Linked DNA regions of Caenorhabditis elegans. The protein of the gene in region 2 purifies or fractionates together with the protein of the main gene of each other region. This does not show direct contact. Each region holds a gene or a part of one and is shown on either strand. Other genes may lie near its edges. The genes, in order: smg-2 and smg-4.

The links.
Region 1: the proteins of smg-4 (region 2) and smg-2 purify together in Caenorhabditis elegans (affinity purification with western blotting, with the first as the bait; one study listed by BioGRID). This does not show direct contact.

The regions. Positions count from the first base shown.
Region 1 is NC_003279.8:1,171,829-1,183,550, reverse strand, and holds the start of smg-2 (Regulator of nonsense transcripts 1), read right to left. Parts: upstream 7,079-11,722; 5' UTR 7,077-7,078; coding exon 6,930-7,076; intron 5,674-6,929; coding exon 5,132-5,673; intron 4,549-5,131; coding exon 4,160-4,548; intron 3,305-4,159; coding exon 2,364-3,304; intron 1,133-2,363; coding exon 1,048-1,132; intron 680-1,047; coding exon 372-679; intron 1-371. Other genes in the region: haf-6 (Mitochondrial potassium channel ATP-binding subunit), read left to right, coding at 7,798-7,862, 7,924-8,167, 9,456-9,743. UniProt on the Caenorhabditis elegans protein: RNA-dependent helicase required for nonsense-mediated decay (NMD) of aberrant mRNAs containing premature stop codons and modulates the expression level of normal mRNAs.
Region 2 is NC_003283.11:9,771,170-9,781,740, reverse strand, and holds smg-4 (UPF3 domain-containing protein), read left to right. Parts: upstream 1-3,995; 5' UTR 3,996-3,998; coding exon 3,999-4,138; intron 4,139-4,191; coding exon 4,192-4,517; intron 4,518-4,569; coding exon 4,570-5,078; intron 5,079-5,416; coding exon 5,417-5,548; 3' UTR 5,549-5,806; downstream 5,807-10,571. Other genes in the region: F46B6.5 (LisH domain-containing protein), read left to right, coding at 1-163, 209-317, 415-987, 1,032-1,119, 1,316-1,536, 1,583-1,777; F46B6.4 (Hflx-type G domain-containing protein), read left to right, coding at 2,224-2,285, 2,331-2,501, 2,548-3,259, 3,347-3,481, 3,530-3,856; UPF0587 protein F46B6.12, read left to right, coding at 5,941-5,943, 6,077-6,223, 6,272-6,353, 6,428-6,537, 6,586-6,747; F46B6.2 (uncharacterized protein), read right to left, coding at 6,860-6,958, 7,391-7,796, 7,840-7,946, 8,565-8,698, 8,748-8,842, 8,891-9,021, 9,255-9,311.

The DNA.
Region 1 (11,722 bases), on a different chromosome or scaffold from region 2:
TTCTGTTTTTTCATGAAAAATAACTGGACAAATTTTACATTTTCAAGGTTTCCGAGAATTTTAAACTTTGAAGCAAAATTTCTGCTCTTTATAGTTGAAAACTTGATATTTTTTAACGGATTTAATTAAATTTTTTCACGAAAATTTCCATTTTTTCTCTAAAAAAAGGAAAAAAAACCGGAAAATGTGCTTAAAAATCTATTTTTTTTAATGAATTTTGTTGAATTCCTTTCGAAGTTTTTTGGCATTTTTAAATGGTTGAAAAAACTCGAAATTTCGAATTTTTTACTTTATTTTTATAATATTACTTTTTTTCTCCATTTTTCTGCACAAATTTCGAGCTCCAATCAATTTTCAGCCGCTTTTCTCACCTGAAAAGCGTCAACACTAGCAATTTCGACATTTTCATAGAGTTTCGAGTTGAGAGTTCCTTGTGTATGCATATAATTGACTATAAAACTACGTTGTCCCTCATACGGAGTAATAACACCGATTTGATGTGGTTGAACGCCTGCTTTTATCAATTTCGACACAAGTTTCTCCACATTCGCGGCTTCTGTTCTATTGAGAAATGAGGTTCCAGATGCTGAAAGCTCTTCGGATCCACTGCAATGCCAGAAGAAGGCCGGCTTATTTGGTTTAGGCCAATGCCAATCGACTCCTGTCATATGGCGATCGTCTGCAAAAATAATTGAATTAAAAGGGTTTTTTTTTTTAGTAAAATTTGAGCTTTTTTCTCGAATTTTCCAGCAAATCTTTGGAGTTTTTAGCTAGCTTTCTGCGGGAAATTGGTTTTTTTTCAGGATTTTGTCAGGAAAAACTGTAAATATTGGATTTTATGCTTTTTTCTCTGGAATTTTCTGGTGAAAAATCCATAATTTTATGATCTTGGGACGTGTCTCTATTTTTCTTGACAATTTTTCGTCAGAAAAAAAAAAGAAATTGGTGGATTTTTCTGGGAATTTTTAAGCGGAAAAGTCGAAATTTCAAGTTTTCAGGTAATTTTCTTTCCTTTAAAAAATTCAAATTATATAAAAAATTGCCTACTTTCAGTGACACCATTCTGGAGACTTCCATCGTAAAACACGTTGCTCGGGAACTCTGAGAGCACTGGATGCATACGGTATTGCACCTGAAAAATGGGTTTAAAATTAGAATTTCATGGAATTTTCTACTGAAATCCTCGGAAAAATTTCTGGAAAAACTGATCTTTCCAATATTTTAGAAAAGTTTTTTGATTAGAAAAAAAATTAAAAATACCAACATTTTCATTTAAAAAACTGAAAAACAGCTACATTTTGTAGCCAAACTTTGTCAAAAATTCGAGAAAAAACCGATTTTTTTTGCATTTTTTAAATCTCAAAATTTCACGAAATTGGATTTTATAGCATATGCAGCGGTTTTCTTGAAAATGTCACTTAAAGGCGGACTACACCCTGTGGGGAAATTGCTTTAAAACGTGCCTATGGGGCCATAATGACCGAATATCATGATAAAAAAATTTTTAAAAGTTTTCTAAATTTTTGATTTTTTGAAAATTGAAAAAATCTCAGTTTTTGCCTAATTCCTATTTGAATTACCGCCAATTGGATTTGTTCGATGGAGCGCGCTTGCACGTTTTTAAATTTATTTATTTTATTTTTTGTTATTTTCCACCGATTTTCAATGTATTCGGTGTATTTTTGCTTGAATTTTAGAGAAAAAGTCAAAATAAATGCAAATTTTCGATTAAAAAACGCGATCGCAGGTGTAAAAAATGAAAAAGTAACGCTTTTAAACGATTTCGAACCTGAATTAACTAATCTCACTGATTTACGCCTGTAAGCATGCTTTTTAATCGAAAATTTGCTTTTTTTTTTACTTTTTCTCTAAAATTCAAGCAAAAATACACTGAAAACATTAAAAATCGGTGGAAAATAACAACAAAAAAAATTAATTAATGAAGATAATGCAAGCGCGCTCGATCGAACAAATCCAATTGGCGGTAATTCAAATTGGAATTAGGCAAAAACTGAGATTTTTTCAATTTTTAAAAAATCATATAAAATTTAGAAAAACATTTTAAATTTTTTTATCATGATATTCGGTCATTGTGACCTTATAGGCATGTTTTAAAGCAGTTTCCCCACTGGCGCTACTCCACCTTTAATTACAAAGTAAATTTTGGTTCGATTTTTTTAATCTCGTAGAAAACTTGTAAACTTTCTGAAAATATCTGAACCTTCATAAAATTCAAACAAAATTTTTCAAAAATTAGAGTCCGAGTTGTAGAAAATCGATTTTTTAAAGGTTCAGTGATAATTTTCAGTAAGTTCAATTTAAAATGCCGAATTTCAGTAGTTTTTTCCCGAAAATGACCCAACCTGAAGCCGGAACGGTCGAATACCGAGAAGCACAAGTCTCTCGAACAAAGATTGGCTCAATCCGGCAATCGCCGCCTTTTTACATATAACAACCGGTCCCAGTTGACAGTGATCTCCAACTAAAACCAATTGCCTGACTCCTCTCATAATAGAGACCAAAATCTCGGGCTCTGTCGCCTGTGTGCTCTCATCAATGAGCACAGTTCTCGTACGGATCTTCGACAATCTCGCATCAGCCGCCGATGAGCACGTACAACAGATGACGTCAGCGGCGGCGAGAAGCTCATGCTCTTTGACTCTTTTCAATTGCATATATCTCAAATCATCCTTAAACTCGAGCTCCCCGGCTTCATCTTTCAACTGAATCAGCTTCTGAAGCTCCGCACCGCCCATCACTTTTAGCTGATGTTGAAGCGTCAAGTAGGGTACTGTAGTCTCACTGTGCTCTCGAGATCTCGCACAAAGCCTCACAACCTTCAATCCCGTCTTGTGAATCTTCTCGGCCAAGTGATCGACGGCGATGTTGCTCGGCGAGCACACGAGCACGTTTCCCTCGGTTTTCTGCACCAAATGATAGACGATTGTCGCCGAAACTACGGTTTTTCCAGTTCCCGGAGGTCCTTGAATCAAGCTTAAAGGTCGGGTGAGCACCTGCTTCACTGCCTGCATCTGGGAGCTATTAAGCTCGGGGAGTCCAGCGACAGATAGCCGACGCGGTAGATCAAACTTGAGCATCATTTCCTCGGCTGGATGACCCAGAAGCTTCTGGTAGAGATATGGAGATATTGCTTTGGAGTCGTTGAGCAGCGCCGCAAGAGCCTTGTACTGTCGCTCGAAGGTGGTGGCGTTCCAGACGACGTCGACGGTGAACATAATCCGACTCTCCATCACTGATTTGTCGACAGCTCCGCGGATTTCGATGCCTACCTCGTCGCCGTGGTCTGCAAATTTGTAAACGTGAAATTTTTTGGAGCTTTTTGTGCAATTTTTCTTGAAATTCACAGAAAAACCACTCGAAAATGGCCAGAAACGATGGAATTTGTGATTTTTTTGTTGTAAATTTGCAATTTTCAGATGATTTTTGAGCTCTTTGCCCAATTTTTCGTGCTAATTTCAAGAAAAATCGATCCAAAAGCGGGAAAAAAAATTTTTCCGAAGAATTTAAAGTTAAAAAAGCTCAAAAAAAAATTGATTTTGGTCATTTTCGAGTAGTTTTTCTTGTAATTTTCAAGAAAAAACCGACCGAAATTTTTTTTTTTGCAGATTTTTGGTGATGTAAATTGTACTTTCCCATAATTTCAACGATTTTCCAGAAGCTCAAAAGGTTAGAAATTTAGTTTATACTATTACGGGAACACAAAATTCTGAAAATGCGTATTACACAACATATTTGACGCGCAAAATATCTCGTAGCGAAAACTACAGTAATTCTTTAAATGACTACTGTAGCGTCGATTTACGGGCTCGATTTTCACTTTTTCGTTCGTGTGAAAATGAAAATCAAGCGCGTCGTAAATCGACCTACAGTAGTCATTTAAAGAATTACTGTAGTTTTCGCTACGAGATATTTTGCGCGTCAAATATGTTGTGTAATACGCATTTTCAGAATTTTGTGTTCCCGTAATAGTATAAACTAAATATCTAACCTTTTCAGCTTCTGGAAAATCGTTGAAATTACTGGAAAATACAATTTATATCAGGAAAAATCTCCAAAAAAAAAATTTTGGACAGTTATTTCTTGAAAATTCCAAGAAAAACTACTCAAAATTTTTATTTTTATTTTTCCCATCCCTTACTATCAGGAATCTTGAAAACACTTCCAATCTTGGTCCATTCCGATCCATCAACCGTCTGAGAATGTTTCAATCGAAGTTCATCGCCTTTCGCAAGCTTCATGACACCATCAGCAAATTGTGGAAGATGAAAGAACGCGAGAACCGATTGACGAAGTCCTTGTTCCCATCTAACAGTTCCGACTGCTTGTGATGCTGATTCTTTAACTCTTCGATCATATTCTGCTTCAATTGCAACTAATGGACGGAACACTTTCGAATAGTGATGAGCATCCACATATCTTAATTGAACATGATCCGGTTCTCGATCGAGTCCCGGTTTATTTAAATCGTCAACGGTTGCTTCTGGGTGATCACGCCAGAGCTCTTCCATTCGGACTGCTTGGGTAGCACTGGAAAATTTAGTTTTTCATATATATATATATATATATATAGCTATTTAAAAGTACTATACCACTTGTGTTTTTCCGGCTTTTTGCACCAATGCCGGTAGAAATTGAGAATTTTTTGCACGAAAATTCGAAAAAAAATTCAATTTTCAATTTCTTTTGGAAACTGGGAATAGATTTTTTATCAACAAAAAAATCGAAGCTATAGAAATATTAAAGGTGGTGTAGTCGAATTTTTTAAAATTGCTTTATTCAACTCAGAAAACACCGAATTTCATAGTGAAACTTCTCAAAAAACAAGTTATGACGGTTCAAAAAATGGCCTAAAATTAGTTAAAATTTGAAATTTGACCGACTTGTAAAGCGGCTGGAAACTATTTTTTTTTTGTAACCACCGTCAAATTTTGAGTATACAATTTAATTATCTTGCGTTTTCAACTCGATTTAGGTATTTTAAAGTCGATGGACGGCGAGATTTAGTTAAAAATTGTTAAAATTCGATCGCTCGGAAATTGCATTTTTGGTTGGAAATTCCTTTAATTATTATTTTAAAATTTTTCTCAAAAATCGATTTTCCTCCACTAACGTGATTTTCCTAGCTCTGGCCACCTGCTCCTCGCTGGGCACATTAACAATCCACGATAGCAGCTGTTTTTCAGCGATTACAGATTTCCAGTCCTCGGGCGACCAATTATCATCATTCTGGAATGCAATACTGGCGCACGGTGTTCTACAGATTATCACGACGACTTGATCCTTTTTTCCGGGGATGAAGCCGAGATTAAACACGTTTTTCGAACCACAACGATAGCATTCCAATTGAGTGTCACCACACGGTGAATCCTTATGCGTGTAGGCTTCCTTATGCTGACTCCGAACCATATGATGAACAATATGCCCGCCCGACGTTCCATCATTGGAATTACAGAACCATTTCCTGCAGACTGTGCATTTGGCGACACACAGAGGATCAGAGATTCCACAATAGCGACACGCGTGCTCCGGCAGCTTCTGCTGCTGCTGCTCTTCTGTCAGTGATTTTTCACTGTCCGACTCGTCGTCTTCCACGTCGTGAAATGGCAAATCGTTGGTGGTTCCATCGGTTCCTCCTGGCAGCAGATCTGTCGCCTGGAATATGGGTTTTTTTTTGTTGAGAATTTTGAAAAATTGACAAAAAAAATTGATTTTAAGGGACTTTTCTATGATTTTCTTGGTTTTTTTCCACTGAAATTTCCACTTTCAGAGGATTTTGAATAAAAATTTATTTAAAATTAAGATCTGTCGCCTGGAATAGGTGTTTTTTTTTGAGAGTCGAATTTTTAAAATTGCTTTGGAATTTTCTTGGAATTTTTTGTACGCTTTTGGGTCGATTTTCTTGAAATTAGCACGAAAAATTGTGGGCAAAGTGCTCAAAAATCATCTGAAAATTGCGATAAACAAAAATATTGGAAAAAAAAATCACAATTTCCAAGATTCCTGACAGTAAGGAATGAGAAAAATTCTTTTTAAAACAAGTTTTTGGTGATATAAATTATCTTTTCCAGAGCAAGCTCAACGTTAAGAAAGGTTAGAAAATTAGATTATACTATTACGGGAACACAAAATTCTAAGAATGCGTATTACACAACATATTTGACGCGCAAAATATCTCGTAGCGAAAACTACAGTAATTCTTTAAATGACTACTGTAGTGTCGATTTACGGAATCTCGATTTTGGCGAAGGAAAAATGAAAATCGAGCCCGTAAATCGACCTACAGTAGTCATTTAAAGAATTACTGTAGTTTTCGCTACGAGATATTTTGCGCGTCAAATATGTTGTGCAATACGCATTCTCAGAATTTTGTGTTCCCGTAATAGTATAATCTAATTTTCTAACCTTTTTTAACGTTGAGCTTCTAGAAAATCGTTGATATTGTTGGAAAAGATAATTTATATCACAAAACATCTCCAAAAAAAATTGGACGGTTTGTTTTCTTGAAAATTACAAGAAAAACTAATCGAAAATGGCCAAATTCAAAAAATTTTGCAATTTTTGCACAAAAATCTAATTTTTTCGAGCTTTTGGATCGATTTTTCTTGAAATTTGCACGAAAAATTGATTGGGCAAAGTGGGCAAAAAAGCATCTGAAAATTGCAAATTGACGGGATTATACTCATTTTCGAACAAAAATTGAAAATAAAAATCACAAATTCCATCGGTTTTGTCCATTTTCGAGTGGTTTTTTTTTCATGATTTTCATCGTTTTTTTCAGTGTGTAAAGTCTATCAATTCAAAGGATTTTGAATACAAATTTCTCTGAAAAATCATGTGAAAAACTTGATTTTTCAGCAAAATCCAGAATTTTCCTTCGATTTTTTGACACAAATGCGGCAATTTTCTACCTGAGAACTCTGCGTAGGCACACTAAACTGCTCATAGGCGAACTGAGAGTCCTGCGTGTTCCCAATAGAGACTCCATCGTCCTCGGGATCCACAAATGTGAGGGTTTCCCCGTGGCTTCTCGAATATTCGTCGTCCGAATCGTCCATTACTGGAAGAAAAGTGCGTTTTTGAGGGGTTTTGGAATGAGAAATCGATAGCATTCATGAGAAATTTGTCGGTATTCGAGTAAAATAGGTGAAAAAAGTACAAAAAAGCATTTTTCAAATTGCAAAATCTAACAATGAGCAATATTTCGTAATTTTTTACCACTTTTACACTTATTTTTGCAGATTTTTCATGTAAAAATTCAACATTTTTGCCGAAAATTGGCGGAAAACCTTCGAAAATGAGAACTGTGTTAATTTAATCACAAAGCGGGTGCATTTTTGGAAATTTCAACAATTAAAATTGAAAATTTTCAATTTCCGCTCACTTTTTATCGGAAAAAGGTAAAAATGCCTAAAATTTGAGCTCAAATTTGAAAAACAAACTGAAAAATCCCCCCAACTTTTAAAATGAGCAATATTTCATCATTTTAGATGATTTTAAGCGAAAATTGTGTGATTTTTAACAATTTAACCATGAAAATGCATATTTTTTCAACATTTTCATACAAAAAATGAGGTTTTGTTAGAAAAAATTGCGAAAAACGGTCGAAAAATGAAAAAATATGATAAAAACACCTCATTGCAAGGTGGGCGCACGGTTTTTGCAAGTGTGCCGCACGGAGTTTATGTTTTCTCGATTATTATTTTTCTTGGAAAATCGGAAAAAATCGCTGATAAGAACTGATTTTTATTGATTTGTATTGATTTTTCCTGGTTTTTAATGTCAATTCTATCTAAACTATCCCAAATATCCATCAAAAGCGCCGTGCAAAGCAGCAAACACTGGTAAGATCTGCAAAAATCTGCTGATTTTCCATTTTTCCATATATTTTCCCGTTTTTTGCAGCTTTTCCAGCTATCCATGGCTTCACAAACCGATTTCAAGGACAACAATACTCAAAACATGGCGAATTTGTGGGTTTGGAGCCGGTTTAGGAGCTGTAACCCTACGAAAAGCGGCATGTGCTCCGAAATTGAGCAAACGCATCGACCATTTGAGGACGACGGAGGATCAGAATGCGTCAATGACGGCCGGAGAGCTGTGGAATTTGATTAAACCCTTTTTCGGCTGGTTTTTCGCTGCAGTTGTGGTGAATTTTTCGATAAAAATCCGGTTGAAAACTGGGAAAAATCGAGAAAAATACGTATTTTTATAGTTAACTTACAAAAAATTGTGCAATTTTCACCTAAAATCTTGCTTTTTAATTTTATTTCAGGTTTCCTGTCAATTTTCCAGCAAAAAAACTTTAATTTCCGCATTAATTCGTATGAAATCAATGAAATTTCATAGTTAAATTGGAAAATGGCAACATTTTTGCTTAAAATTTGTAAAAAATCATGTTTTTTGGGCATTTTTGGTGATTTTCTTTCGATTTTTATGATTTTTCGGCGGTTTTTACCCAATTTCATTAGAAAAAATTGAAAAAATCTCAGTTTTCCCCTAATTCCTATTTGAATTTCCGCCAATTGAACTTGTTCGGTGGAGCGCGCTTGCATTATTTTTTTTATCATTATTTCATTGATTTTCTTCATTTTTAGGGGTTTTTGATCGGAATATGAACGAAATAAACAAGAAAAATGCAAAATGTTTATGAAAAAGTGACTAAAAATACCTAAAACTCCATGAATAATACAAATTTCAGGCTCGTCGTCCTCAGAACTCAAAAAATCACAGTTTTACGCATTTTCAGTTACTTTTTAACAAACATTTTGTATTTTTCTTGCTTTTTCAGTTCTTTTTTCCGATAAAAATGCACAAATAATGAAGAAAATCAGTGAAATAATAAAAAATAATTTTAAAAAATTAATGAAAATAATGCAAGTGCGCTCCAACGAACGAATCCAATTGGCGGAAATTCAATTAGGAATTAGGCAAAAACTGAGATTTTTTCAATTTTTTCTAATGAAATTGGGTGAAAACCGCCGAAATATCATAAAAATCGAAAGAAAATCACCAAAAATGCCCAAAAAACATGATTTTTTACAAATTTTAAGCAAAAATGTTGCCATTTTCCAATTTAACTATGAAATTTCATTGATTTCATACGAATTAATGATATTCGGTCATTATGGCCTCATAGGCATGTTTTAAAGCAATTTTCCCACAGAGTGGAGTCCACATTTAAAGAAAAAATTGGCTAAAAGTCGGTTTTGTCCGGATAAATTACAAAAAATTACAAAATTTTTGTTTTAAATCTCGGAATTTGAAGTTTTTCAGTTATTTTGGGGGGCTAAAAATTTTAATTTCTACATTAAATTGTACGAAAATCTTGTAATTTTTTCGGAATTTCACCAGAAAAAATTTTAAAAACAAAAAAATTTTAATTTTAGTCAATTTTTCCTTAAAAAATTGAGAAAAATTATCAGTTTTTTTTGCAGTGCGCCATCCTCTCAGCCTACATCAACATTCAAATTCCACTATGCCTGGGCGATTTGGTGAACGGAATCGTGAAAATCATCAAGGACGAGTCGAACAATTTACGATCTCATTTTGAACAGCTCAAGCCATCTGCTCTGCACTTAATGACACTATATGTTGCACAATCTGCTCTCACATTTCTTTATATCACATTTTTAACGGTTCTCGGAGAACGAATGGCGACGAAAATGCGGTCGGACTTGTTTCAGAAGCTATTGCACCATGATATGGCATTTTTTGATTCTCATGTAAGAGCGTGGGTGGCCGCGGTGAAATTTTGGTGGCCTAGTTTTTTAAATTCCGATTTTTTCGGTTTTTTTCAGTAAAAAAAATCTTTTTGAAAACTCGACATTTTTAATTTTTTGCAATTTAAAGATGGATTGACTCCAAAATTTCCCCTGATCCCCGAAAAAAAAATTGTCCCAAAAAATTTTTTTTTTTCAAATATTTGTTTTAGTTTTTGATTAATTTTCAGTATTTTTCTGCTTTAACTTTTTGAAAAATTAATTAGGGAAAACTCTAAAATGTTTGATTTTTGAATTTGATTTTTTTGGCAGTTTTCAGATAAAAAAACAGGATTTCCTTTTTTTCAATTTTAACTTTTTTAGAACAAAAATACAGGGTCTCGACACGACAATTTTTCGGTATAAATCAATCTGCGCCTTTAAAGAGGGTACTACTGTATTTTCGAGCTTTTCCTTTCTGCGAATTTTTTTCCCGAAATCGTGGGAAAAAAATAATTTTTACAACTACAGTAACCTTTAAAGGCGCACATCTTTCTGTATTTATAAGGAATTGTCGGAACCCAGAAATCCGTGTAATGTCTGAAAAAAAAATTGTCCCAAAAAAAATTTTTTTTTCAATTATTTGTTTTAGTTTTTGATTAATTTTCAGTATTTTTCTGCGTTAACTTTTTGAAAAATTAATTAGGGAAAACTCTAAAATTTTCTATTTTTCGTGTTTAATTTTCTCTAATTTTCAAAAATAAAATCAAAATTTAAAAAATTTACTCTAAAAAATTCTGAAAAAAACTTTAAATTTAATTTTTCTGCATAGTTTTCTTGTTTCCACTATTTTTATTTTTCAAATATTTTTAAACAAATTGAGTTACAGAAAAAAAAAATTTAATTTGTGAAAAAACTTTACAAAAATTTTTTTTTTAGAAAAATAGAAAAATTTCTTTTGAAAATTTTCTTTTGAAAATTTAATTTTTTTTGAAAATTTTTAAAGAGCTTCAGAAAAAAAATTATTAACTTTTTGTACAGTTTTATAGCTTTCATAATCATTTTTAAAGGTGGAGTACCGAAATCTATTAAATATTTTTAACTGACTCCAAATTTTCCCCTAATTCCGAATATCTATGTGAAAAAATCAAAAAAAAATTTCCCTGATTTTATATGCACGCTTGAAATCGCTTGTTCCGGCATCACTTTTTTCAAATTCGCGCCCAAAGAAATTCGCATTGGAGCGCGCTTTGATTTTCTTCATTTATAAATATTTATTTTATTTATTTTTCGCCGAATTCAGTGTTTTTAAAACTAGTTTCATTCATTTTAGTCGAGTTTTTATCGGTTTTTTTCGACAAAAATAAATGCAACTGATTTTGAAAAACTGAATTCGGCGAAAAATAAATGAAATATTTAAATGAAGAAAATTTAAAAAAAAAGCGCTCCAATGCGAATTTCTTTGGGCGCGAATTTGAAAAAAAGCGATTCCGGAACAAGCGATTTCAAGCTTAAATATAAAATTAGGGGAATTTTTTTTTGGATTTTTTCACATAGATATTCGGAATTAGGGGAAAATTTGGAATCTATTAAATATATTTTCCAAATTTCAGTACTCCACCTTTAAAAATGATTATGAAAGCTAGAAAACTGTACAAAAAGTTAATAATTTTTTTTCTGAAGCTCTTTAAAAATTTTCAAAAAAAATCGAAATTTTTTTCTGTAACTCAATTTATTTAAAAATATTTGAAAAATAAAAATAGTGGAAACAAGAAAACTATGCAGAAAAATTAAATTTAAAGTTTTTTTCAGAATTTTTTAGAGTAAATTTTTTAAATTTTGATTTTATTTTTGAAAATTAGAGAAAATTAAACACGAAAAATTGAAAATTTTAGAGTTTTCCCTAATTAATTTTTCAAAAAGTTAAAGCAGAAAAATACTGAAAATTAATCAAAAACTAAAACAAATATTTGAAAACAAAAAAAAATTTTTTGGGACATTAT
Region 2 (10,571 bases):
AGGATCTCTCTTTCCGAATGCAACCTGGCACAACGCCAGGTAGAGTCGGGCAACCTGTACAACCAATGAAGCCAGACAATGCTATACCGAAAAAAGCAGCACCAGTGCCTTTTGAACCAAAACTAGAAGATAGAGAACGAATAATTAGAAGATCAGGAGGAAGGTGTGTGGATTTCAATCATTTAAATTGATAATCAGTGTTGTTCAGATCGCAGTCTAGAAGCTTAAGGTATGGAAGTTCTCCCCAACAAAGTCGTCCGGTAGAGGAACAGAAACGTCATCGAGATACGGAAAAGGAAAGAGAACGAGATCACGAGGTATTTATTGTGTTTTGTGCATGTTTCTAAGTATTACAATCCTCTCATTCCCTTTGTTTCTGTCTGTCCTGCTTGATTTTTTGTTGTTGCTTTGTAGAAAAGAACGGATCGAGACCGAGACCGAGAGAAGCGAAAAGACAAGCATGAATCCGATGTCACTTCTCACCCCACTATCACACGACACCGTCGCTATTCCGAGGCACATCACAGTACAAATGTTCAGAGCGATAGAGAATCTATATCATCCACGTCGTCTCGATCCAATGCTCCCGAGAAACGAGAACGAGATGCGGAGAAGGAGAGAAAAAGAAAAGATAAAGAGCATCGGCGGGCATTAGAAGCTGACAACAACAAATATCATGCAAGAGAAAAGGAAAAACAGAAGCAGCCATCTTTTCATCAGAAATCGAATGAGCAGCAGACATCTGAAATTCCTGTCATCATTCGGACAACGCAAGTGGGTGGAAGTGACAAGCCAAAGGATCCAAGAAAACAACCGATTGGATCACCCAGTTCGGCGAAGCGAAAGCATGATGATGTGGCAAGACGTGAATTCAAAATCCCCAAAAAGCATTCATCCTCGTCAAAACCTGATAGTCGGTATGGAAGTAGTTCGCATCCCAAAGAGTCATCGGCTATGCAATCAAAACCATACAAATCAAGTTATACGGTAATGAAAAATCATCTTTAAAATGTTTTTATTTCTATTTTCAGAAATCACAAGCAGATCAAGAGTTGTGTGACGGAGACGATCGTAAAGATTCCACTCATTTTCTCAATCCTGTTGGGCACCTTGCGCGGTGTAAGTATTTGTTTAATTTTGCAAGTGGTGTCAGAGTGTACCATATCGTGGTGATTTACAATAATTGATGGAATTTTCCTCCCAGAAAAGTCGATTGCCCCGAAATGGGAACCTGCGGTACCACTTTCTTTTGTTTTCTTTTCTTCTAATGATTCACCACTTTTTTAAATAACGAAAACTCACAACACGATAATAGTAGCTTCAGTATCATCACTTCTGGTCAATTGCGATACAACGTACCAACAATTTCATGATGATTTGCAAGAAAAGATATCAAAGTCGCGTAGATCAGCAAATTTGCCCTCATTGTCGCCTGCAAACTCGGAAGAGTATTCCCATAATAATATTCCAGTGAACAATCATCCAAAAGGTCAATCCTTTGCTCCGAGAAAAGGAGCTTTATTGAGTGCTAAACCGGTATGTTACACGTACTCAATATGTCTAAACAGTACTGATCTTTCAGAAACTGTCACCAACTTCATCCAGCCACTCAACTGATCCAGAAAGTAGCTCCTGTGCTAGTTCAGACAATGAAACTTCAGATGCTACTTCGCAGAGAAGTGTCGCCCGATCTCCAGACGCCAAAAAGACTCGTTTAAGTTCACTCGATCTATCAAAAGCAGAAAAAATGTTAGATAGAATTCATGGTCCAAAATAGAATTTATTATTTCGTTTTCATATAATTAATCTTATTTATTATTTTCCGGGTATGTCCACAAGTCATTCAAAACATTTTTCCATTCTATAATTCAGCTGTGTTACTTTTTTTATGTATATCCTATGATCCTATATCATGTTCCCATTTTTTTTGTCCGTTCAATAGGTTCTCCCAACCATATCAATTGTATTCCTGTAACTTGAGTTTTAGGCATATCCCAGCCGATTACAAATATTGTTTTATGGAAGAGTTAGTCTTGAAACTTATTTTCCCGCTTTTCGTACCCATTAGAATTTCAATTTTTGGTTTTTCAGTTCGAACCCCTTCTGATGAAGTTTCAATCGTCTTAAAATACGCTTAATCTGATTATATTTGGTAATATATTCCGTGTATAGATTTTTACTTTGTTAGAAATATGAAAGCAGCTTCTCAAATATTATTTCAGAATGTTTATTCTACGATTATCAAGGCAGACAGTTTTGTCATTTCGTAATCTGAGTATTGGTAGGTGAGCAGAATTTTCTATATTTCCAAAATTTTATTGATCTCTCAGTTCTGAAGTGGCAGCTCCTTCTGCATTTGCAAATGATAGGTGGTCAGTGTTAGTTGTGCATCCAAAGGTTCGATGGGGATCTGGATCAGCTTCAGTATTGAAACAAGCAGATCGACAACTTGAAGAAGCTGTTGCACTTGTCGATAATCTTCCAAATATGAATGCTGTTGAGTAGGTTTTGGAATGATATTAATTGATATAACTCATCTAATTTCAGCAGTCTTATCATGCCAGTCGACTACAATACAAAAAGGAAAGCTGTTTGGGCGTCTGGAAATTTAGAAAAGTTGATTGCTCGACGAGAAGCTGCACGTGCCACTGCATTAATGGTGAATGTTGATGCATTGAGCCCATCGCAGCAACAAGAACTCTACCGAATTTTCGAAGTTCCTATTTTTGATCGATACAACATTGTTTTGGCAACTTTCAAACAATTTGCAAAAACTGAAGAAGCTCGGATTCAGATTGCTATTGCCGAAATTCCGTACATCAAACATCGAATTCATGCTCTTTCATCGAAACGATTGCATTCACGTCCGGATATTCTACACATTGACTCACACTATTCCGATATCGATGGCGATCTGAATGAAATTCTTCGAAAACGAGAGCAAGACCTACGTAAAGAGCTAAAAGATGTGACTCGGAAAAATGTTGGACAACTCGGTGTGAGAAATTCATCAGACGCCGTTGTTGCAGTTGTCGGATACACGAATTCTGGAAAAACTAGTTTAGTGAAAAAACTGACTGGAGCCGCATCCCTGACGCCGAAGGATCAGTTGTTTGCCACATTGGACACCACACGCCACTTGGCAAAGTTACCTTCTGGTCGATCAGCTGTGTTTACTGATACAATCGGATTTTTGAGCGATTTGCCAATGCATTTGATTGCGGCATTCGAAGCTACGCTGGCTCATGTGAAATCTGCGGTGAGTCATGAGTCATTGAACAAAAAGTTTTAATTCGTTTTCGAAATTCAAATTCGTTATAAAAATCGTGATATTTATTTTTTGTAGGATGTGATAATCCACCTTCGAGACATTTCCAATCCGGACTGGAAAGCACAAGAAGAAGATGTTCTGGCAACACTTAAATCCATTGGAGTTACAGATTATGTACTCAACGAAAGGATAATTTCTGTTGATAACAAGGTGATATTTAGAAAAGTTTTCTTCCTTTTCCTAATTTTTATTGTTCAGATCGACAAAGAATCTGCATTTCCCACTTCCGAATCAAACAATTCCGTACGAATTTCGTGTAAAACAGGTGATGGTATGCATGAACTCATTGATGTTATCAACGATAAAGTTACAATGGTTACAAAGTGCAAAACGATTCGACTTCGTCTGGATGCTCGATCACCAGTAATTGAATGGCTTTATCATAACGAATTAGTGGTCATTGAGCCCACCATCGATGGAAATTATTTAATTTTTGACGTTGTTATGAACGAATCGGAAATCGGTCGATTCCGTAAAAAATTTGCTCATTTAAAAAAGAAGAACTCACAATCTGTTTCTCTATAAAATAGTAATAAATATTTTTTATTTATTTTACAACTGCTTATTTGTTTTATTCATCCGGTCTGCACCCGTTAAATTAATTCTTGATTCTTTTAAAAATGTAGTAATTTTTATTATTTTTATTATTTTATTTATTATTTTCAGAATGACCGATTCAAAAGACGGTCATGTGAAAGTCGTGTTGCGTCGTCTTCCAAAATACATGACGGAGCATGAAGTTCTTGAACAGATTAGTCCACTACCAGAAGAAGTCATTGGAACCTATTTTCATCCTGCTAACTTTTCGTGTGTTCTAAAAATTTGATGTTTTGCTTCTAAAGTCATAAACATTTTTTCAGGTTCGACCGATGTGCTTATGCAACGCTTACAGTAAATTTTTCCGAATACTGTGATTCAATGATGGAATTTGAACGGCGATTCGATGGATACATTTTTGTCGATTCTCGTGGAAATGATTCTGCTGCAGTTGTTGAAGCTGCTTCCAATCAGAACTTTGCAAAATGTGATCGTAATCGAATGAAGGAAGATACACGTGTTGGAGCTATTCTCACTGATAAATACTATTTGGATTTCTGTAAGAAGCTTGAAGAAGAAAGAGCTATTCCAATTCTGACTCTGGAACAACAAATTCGGAAACTTAATCAGCCTGATGATGCTAGAACTCGTTAGTATTTGATTTTTCTTAAAATATTAAAACATCATTATTATTATTATAGAAATCGATAAAATGGAAACACCACTTGTCAAGTATTTCTTCGAAAAAGAAACTGGAAAGCGGAGAGATTACGATGCTCGCAGACAGAGACGTGACGAAAAGAGAGCTGAGAAGCGTGATAAAGTTGATAAATTTGAAAAGCATAAGAATGTTCTGGATATCCTTATGAAGCCCAGCGTTCCGATGGCTTCAACGTCTGCAACCACGTCGAAGAAGGATTTGAAGAAGGAAAAACCTATGACAGAAAAAGAAAAAGAACGGTGGGAGAAGCAGGACGCAAAAAGAAAAGAACGAAATATGATTCGCAAACAAAAGTTTCTTGATGAGAAGAAGAAGAAACATGAAGAGCGGGAACAAGATGGACCACGTGTTCCAAGAGATAAAAAAAAGGAACGTCTCGCAAAACCTCCCCGTCCATCTCCAGCTAAAACTGTTGGCGAGCAACAAGGCGAGGATTGGATTAAGAAATTAACTGATCCGAAGTCAGCTCCAATGAAAAAGAAACACGATGTAAGTTTCATTTTTCATTTCTCAAAATTTTTATAAGTTCTGAGCTTGTTTGAAATACGAATTAAAATGATCAGACATCATATTAAAGTACATACTTTTTAAAACTTTGTCTGGTCAAAAAAAATGAAAATTGCTCTGTTTGATATTAATAACTTTGAGGTTGACCAAAAAGTTGTTTTCTACAAATTATATTCAAAAAATCTAAATAATCTGAATTTTTTGAAAAATTGACATTTTGCCAAAACTTGAACCGTAGGTTCTAGGAACTATTTTACTGAGATTTGATGAAATAGTTCACTTTTTTCTGAATAAAAAAAAGTTACTAAACTCTTTAAAAGCTTTCAGTCACCACCAAACTGAATAAGGAAACCGATACACGGCCACGAACGGCACCATCTTCTACAAAACTCCCAACTCGTGCAACTACGTCCAATCATCCAAAACGTCCATCCACTGCACCGAATCATTAGCAATTGTTGTTAAAGATTAATGTTGATTATAAGAGGAGTAAATGGATTTTTTTTGTTTGATTGTGAAACCGTCATAATCGTTTTCTATGTGCTACATTTCTAATATGTTCACTTATTCCATTCTCTGTATTTTCGATTATCAAACATTCGAAACTCATCTTATGATTTTCTACCCTCCATTATTACAGCTTATGTACTCGTTTTTTCCCTTTTTCCTTACTCGCTTTATAGTTTTGGAAAATAAATTATAAATACATTTTTTGTGTTATGCTATTTCATTCTAACGGGAAGTCCCTGTGGGAATGTCTCCTCATTTTCTTGACAGCCTCCGTCAATTCTTCACTAAAGTGTTGTTTAGGTGACCGGAGGACGAGACCATCTGCGCGTACAAAATGGTAAGGAATACCAATTAGAATGTGCTCGGAGAGACATAAGCACAAGTTTCTTCCGCGCGGATAATTAGGGTTGACTTTTTCTATTTACGAACAAAGCAATCCGATAATTAGCATAATAACTTGAGAATTTCAGCCTTTTCTTGCTCTCGAACTGAAGTGTCAATTGAAAGGTATCACTGATCTTCGTCCGGATGACACTGATTCGTTTCATTGGCACATGAAACTTAAGTGTACTAATTGTGGTGAAGCTCCAGATCACTGGCAGTATGTAGTGCTCAATGTGAGATATTTCTAGAATGTTTTCTTTTAAGAAACAAATCTATTTTAGGAGATGCTTGATGTTCCAGGAAGTCGTGGTGAGGCAAATCTTGTGGAAAAATGCAAGCTGTGTGGAAGAGTCAACACTTTGAGTGAGTGAATCTTAAAATATCTGGGATCAAAGTTTTGCGAGAAAATCAAATTAAGTATATATAAACATTTTCAGCCATTGTCGAGGATATGTTCAAAAGCTACAACATCGAACAAAACGAGAAATGGCAACAGATTGCAGTGTTCGATTGCCGTGGACTTGAACCGTTTGATTTTGATCCGAGAGTACGAAATTTTGAATATATTTAATTCAAAAATGTGTGATTTTTGTAGGACGAATGGATTGCCAAAAGCGTTGAAACTGGAAACGCATTCCACGAGATTGATTTGAGTGAGAAGGAATGGGTGGACTTTGATGATAAAGCAATGGAAGCCGTTGAGATTAGCGAGATGTCCTCCCAATTCACCACCATTCGTGATCCAAAGAAGAAGTGAAAAGTTTAAAGCATTCCATTATTCCACGTGCCCTACTATTATTTTTATCCAATCTGATGTACTGATTTTGTAAAAATGATAAACTTTATATATACGCAACAAAACATTAATTTCAATAGTATAAGTATTGCTTTTTGGTTGAGAAAGCTGATCGCATGGAGATGGAAAACTGTATGCATGAAAAAATGAATAAGAGAATGTGTACTGTTATCTGAAAAATGTGTTTTCCGCGTGGTGGAACCGTAGGATATAAAAATAATTTTCATCTTTCAACGTCTACGTAATAAGTTACAGTAACCCGTGTCAATTTGGGGGATCGTTTTGCTTTCTAATTTTTTATTGTAAAAAACCACATGGTGTCAGGCTGTCCCATTACGGCTTGATCTACAAAAAGTGCGGGAAGTTTTTCGCAAAAAATGGGACGTCAGCACGTTCTTAACCATGAAAATACAGTTGAGAAGTCTAAATCCCTCGTTTTTGTAGATTAAACGGATATGGGACACTTTGACACGACGTGAAAAACTTGTGTATTTATTTGGAAAAAGATTATTCTCAAGTGACCCTAAAATTGGCACGTTACAGGAACATCCATGATTTGGCAAAAATTAGGATCTTTAGACGTCAACGAAATAGTCAAATTTACCTGAATAGCAGCAATCTCTCTTTCAGTTTCCTGTGGTAACCAATCAATATATGGATGAGTAAAATGAACAACTCTCATACAATATGCTTCTCGATGTGACAACCAATGGCAATGCCTTGTAATCATATGCGGAACAGTATTTCGATTAAACCAGCAGAATATACCAAAACTTGTGGTAGCATTCATAAGAACTGCGAATGCTGCTCCAATAATGTTTAAAGCTCTAGTTGTTGAACCATGACATTTAGTTCTCCATGAAACAATTCCTTGAAGTAATGAAAACATTCCAATTGCCAATGGAAGATATAGAAAAAAGAATGTGCAACAGTAACGAAGATGAAAAAATGAAACAATAATGATAAATATTGATATGACGACTTGATAGTGATAAGAGTATAAACGGATTCTGAAACTTAAATGTAAAATTACATTTTCAATATTAAAATTACTTGGTTTCGGTTGCACTGTAGAATGTGAGTAGAGTACATATTAATAGATGAATACCAGATAAAATAGTCAAAGAAATTGATGTGAAAAACCGAATCCATTCGCGTTCCTGAAAAAGTTGGTATATTCAAGCCATTATTGCGAATTGGGCATTGTATCTCGCCGTAATGCCTACTATGGCCTACCGTACTCCCTACGTTACTGTACGATCAGGGGCAAAATGGGAAATGATTAAAAAGTGTGAAGCCCGCAGCAAGGTATGGATATGGTAAAGTTTTTTGTTCATTATGCATAATTTTTGAGCCACTTTTCAAGGCATTTCTTGCTAAAGGTTGCGATAGCCACGTTAAAATAAGTTCTAGCGCTACATTTTCAATCTATGAAATTATAAACTTTTTGAAATTTTTTAAAATGAAAATGCTAAAGATGGCCCTTCCCATCAGTGTGTCACAAAACGAGTTTCAAAGATTTTTCAAAGGCTGTATGTAGTAAAAAGAAAAAAGAAAAATTACTTTTAGAAAAAGAACTGCTAAAAACTTTAATATCTGCCTTAATTTCAAAGAACCTAATTTTCATCCTTGAAACAACTCGCCTCCAAAAATGAAACAAAACCTGGTATTGAGTAACAACGTAACGCAAAGTCACCCTACCTACAGTACTAAAATTTTTCGTTTTTTATAGTTAGGAATCCATATGATTTATTATTCTTGTCATATACATGCATTACCTTAGGTTCCCATCCAAATTTATCGAGAATCGACAATTGTAAATTAGCGAGTAAATCGTTGCAAGACCCAACCATTGCAATTGTTCGATATTTTAATCCGTGGCATACTCCATCTTTAATTGTTTCATCTGCATCTGAAAAATAATTTTTAAATCTAAAATTTTAAATGCAAATAACTCTTACATTTAAACTCATTTATACAGTATGTTTCCATTAACGACGAGAAAAAGAAGAAAAATCCAATTGAAGAACATGTTAATTGTAAATAGAAATCACATCTAAAAATTTCAAAATTTAATATTGAAAACATTAAATTTTATAAATACCGATTTGGGTACCGAAGAAAAATTGCATGGAATGCTGTGACCAACCCGAAAGCAGAATTGATAAATGGGAATAAAAAGAAAAATAATGGAGAACAGTAGGCAATGTGTGCTCCTCCAAGAGCGAATTCAAACTTAAAATAAATATATTATAGTGTTCATCAGAAGCGAGTTTTTTTGATAATGCGAGGAAAATATAATGTACTTCAACATTGGGCAAAAATATAATCCATGTTTCAACTTTTGGGGTGTTTTCGCATGCAGTGTTTTTTAATAACACAATTTCAATTGATGTATTGAATAAAAGTTTCAATACTACTACTAGAACGATTTTCTATATTTTTGTATTTCAATCAAAACCACTTACCACTGCAACCACCGCCAATAACGGATATAAACTCCATTTAGGTCCTGTCGATGCCATTTTTGTGGAACGAGAATGAACTCAAAGCACAAGTCTAATTAAGAATGTATGAAGGAAAGCAGTCGCAAAAAACCAAGAATTGACAAAACTATGGAGGACTAACGAGATGAAAGTCTTCGATGAACGGAGGGAGTTGTCGTCGGAAAAAAGAAAGAGTAGGAGCAAAAGGGAAAAGGGATGACACGATGAGATGACAGCAAAATCTGCAAAAGTGAGGAGACAGAAAGCTTGTAGGAGCAAGAGGAAGCTCCAATTTTTTCCGAGGGAAATAGAAATCAAATCAACGAATTGTGAGGGAGTCATGATGATGATGATGATTATGATGGTTTTGGGAAGAAACATGGGAGCATCTTCTTCTGGTTTTTGGTTTCCAGAATATGATCTTGAGGGCGAGTGCATTAAACTTTCGGGGTCCAACAGTGAAAATTCATATTACCGTTGTTAATATTAGTCTTGAACTCCAACTGCTCCAGCCCATATATTGATTAACTTTGGTTTGATCCAAGTGATCAACTTTGAAAATTGATAAAATTAAAAGCCAGGATCAAAGTCATCCTTTTTATAGACCTGGACGCAACCGTACCATAATCTTCCAATTGGGTAAATGGAATGAAACAGTGAATAAATCTGCTAAAATTCTACAAAGAAATGTCTGCTTTCAAAAATAAATTAATGGATCCACTTACTCACAAATGACTTCTACAGTCTAATTTTTTTTAAGTTTGAAAATTTAATTTCAAACTATACTGTTGTACTTCTCATTGCTAGATAATTTTTCCGCTTTTTGCCATTTGATAATAATATTTTGATGAAAAAAACATACGCTATCTTGAATATGGTTACTTTCAAAAACAACTGGCCGTATGTGTTCTACTCAAAAGTTTCTCTAAATTTAATAGATCATTTCGGTAATTACAATTTGTTTTATGAGGTTATAATGATTAGTATCATTCAATAAATATACTTGAGCATGATGAGAGGAGAAGTGCCAAAGGCTTGGGCACAATCCGTCGTTATACCACTAGGGAAAACTACTAAACCTAAAGACTCAAAAGACTTTCGTCCTGTTAGCCTCACGTCAAATATCTGTCGAGTATATGAGCGATGCTTACTGAAAAAAATAGAACCGTATCTTAGAGAAATCAATTTTTGGAATGAGAACCAGCATGGGTTCAGACCTACAAAATCAACGATCTCTAATCTGATGAATAGTTTGAATGACTGGACAAGCAACCTAGATCTGGGAGCCCAAATTGACGT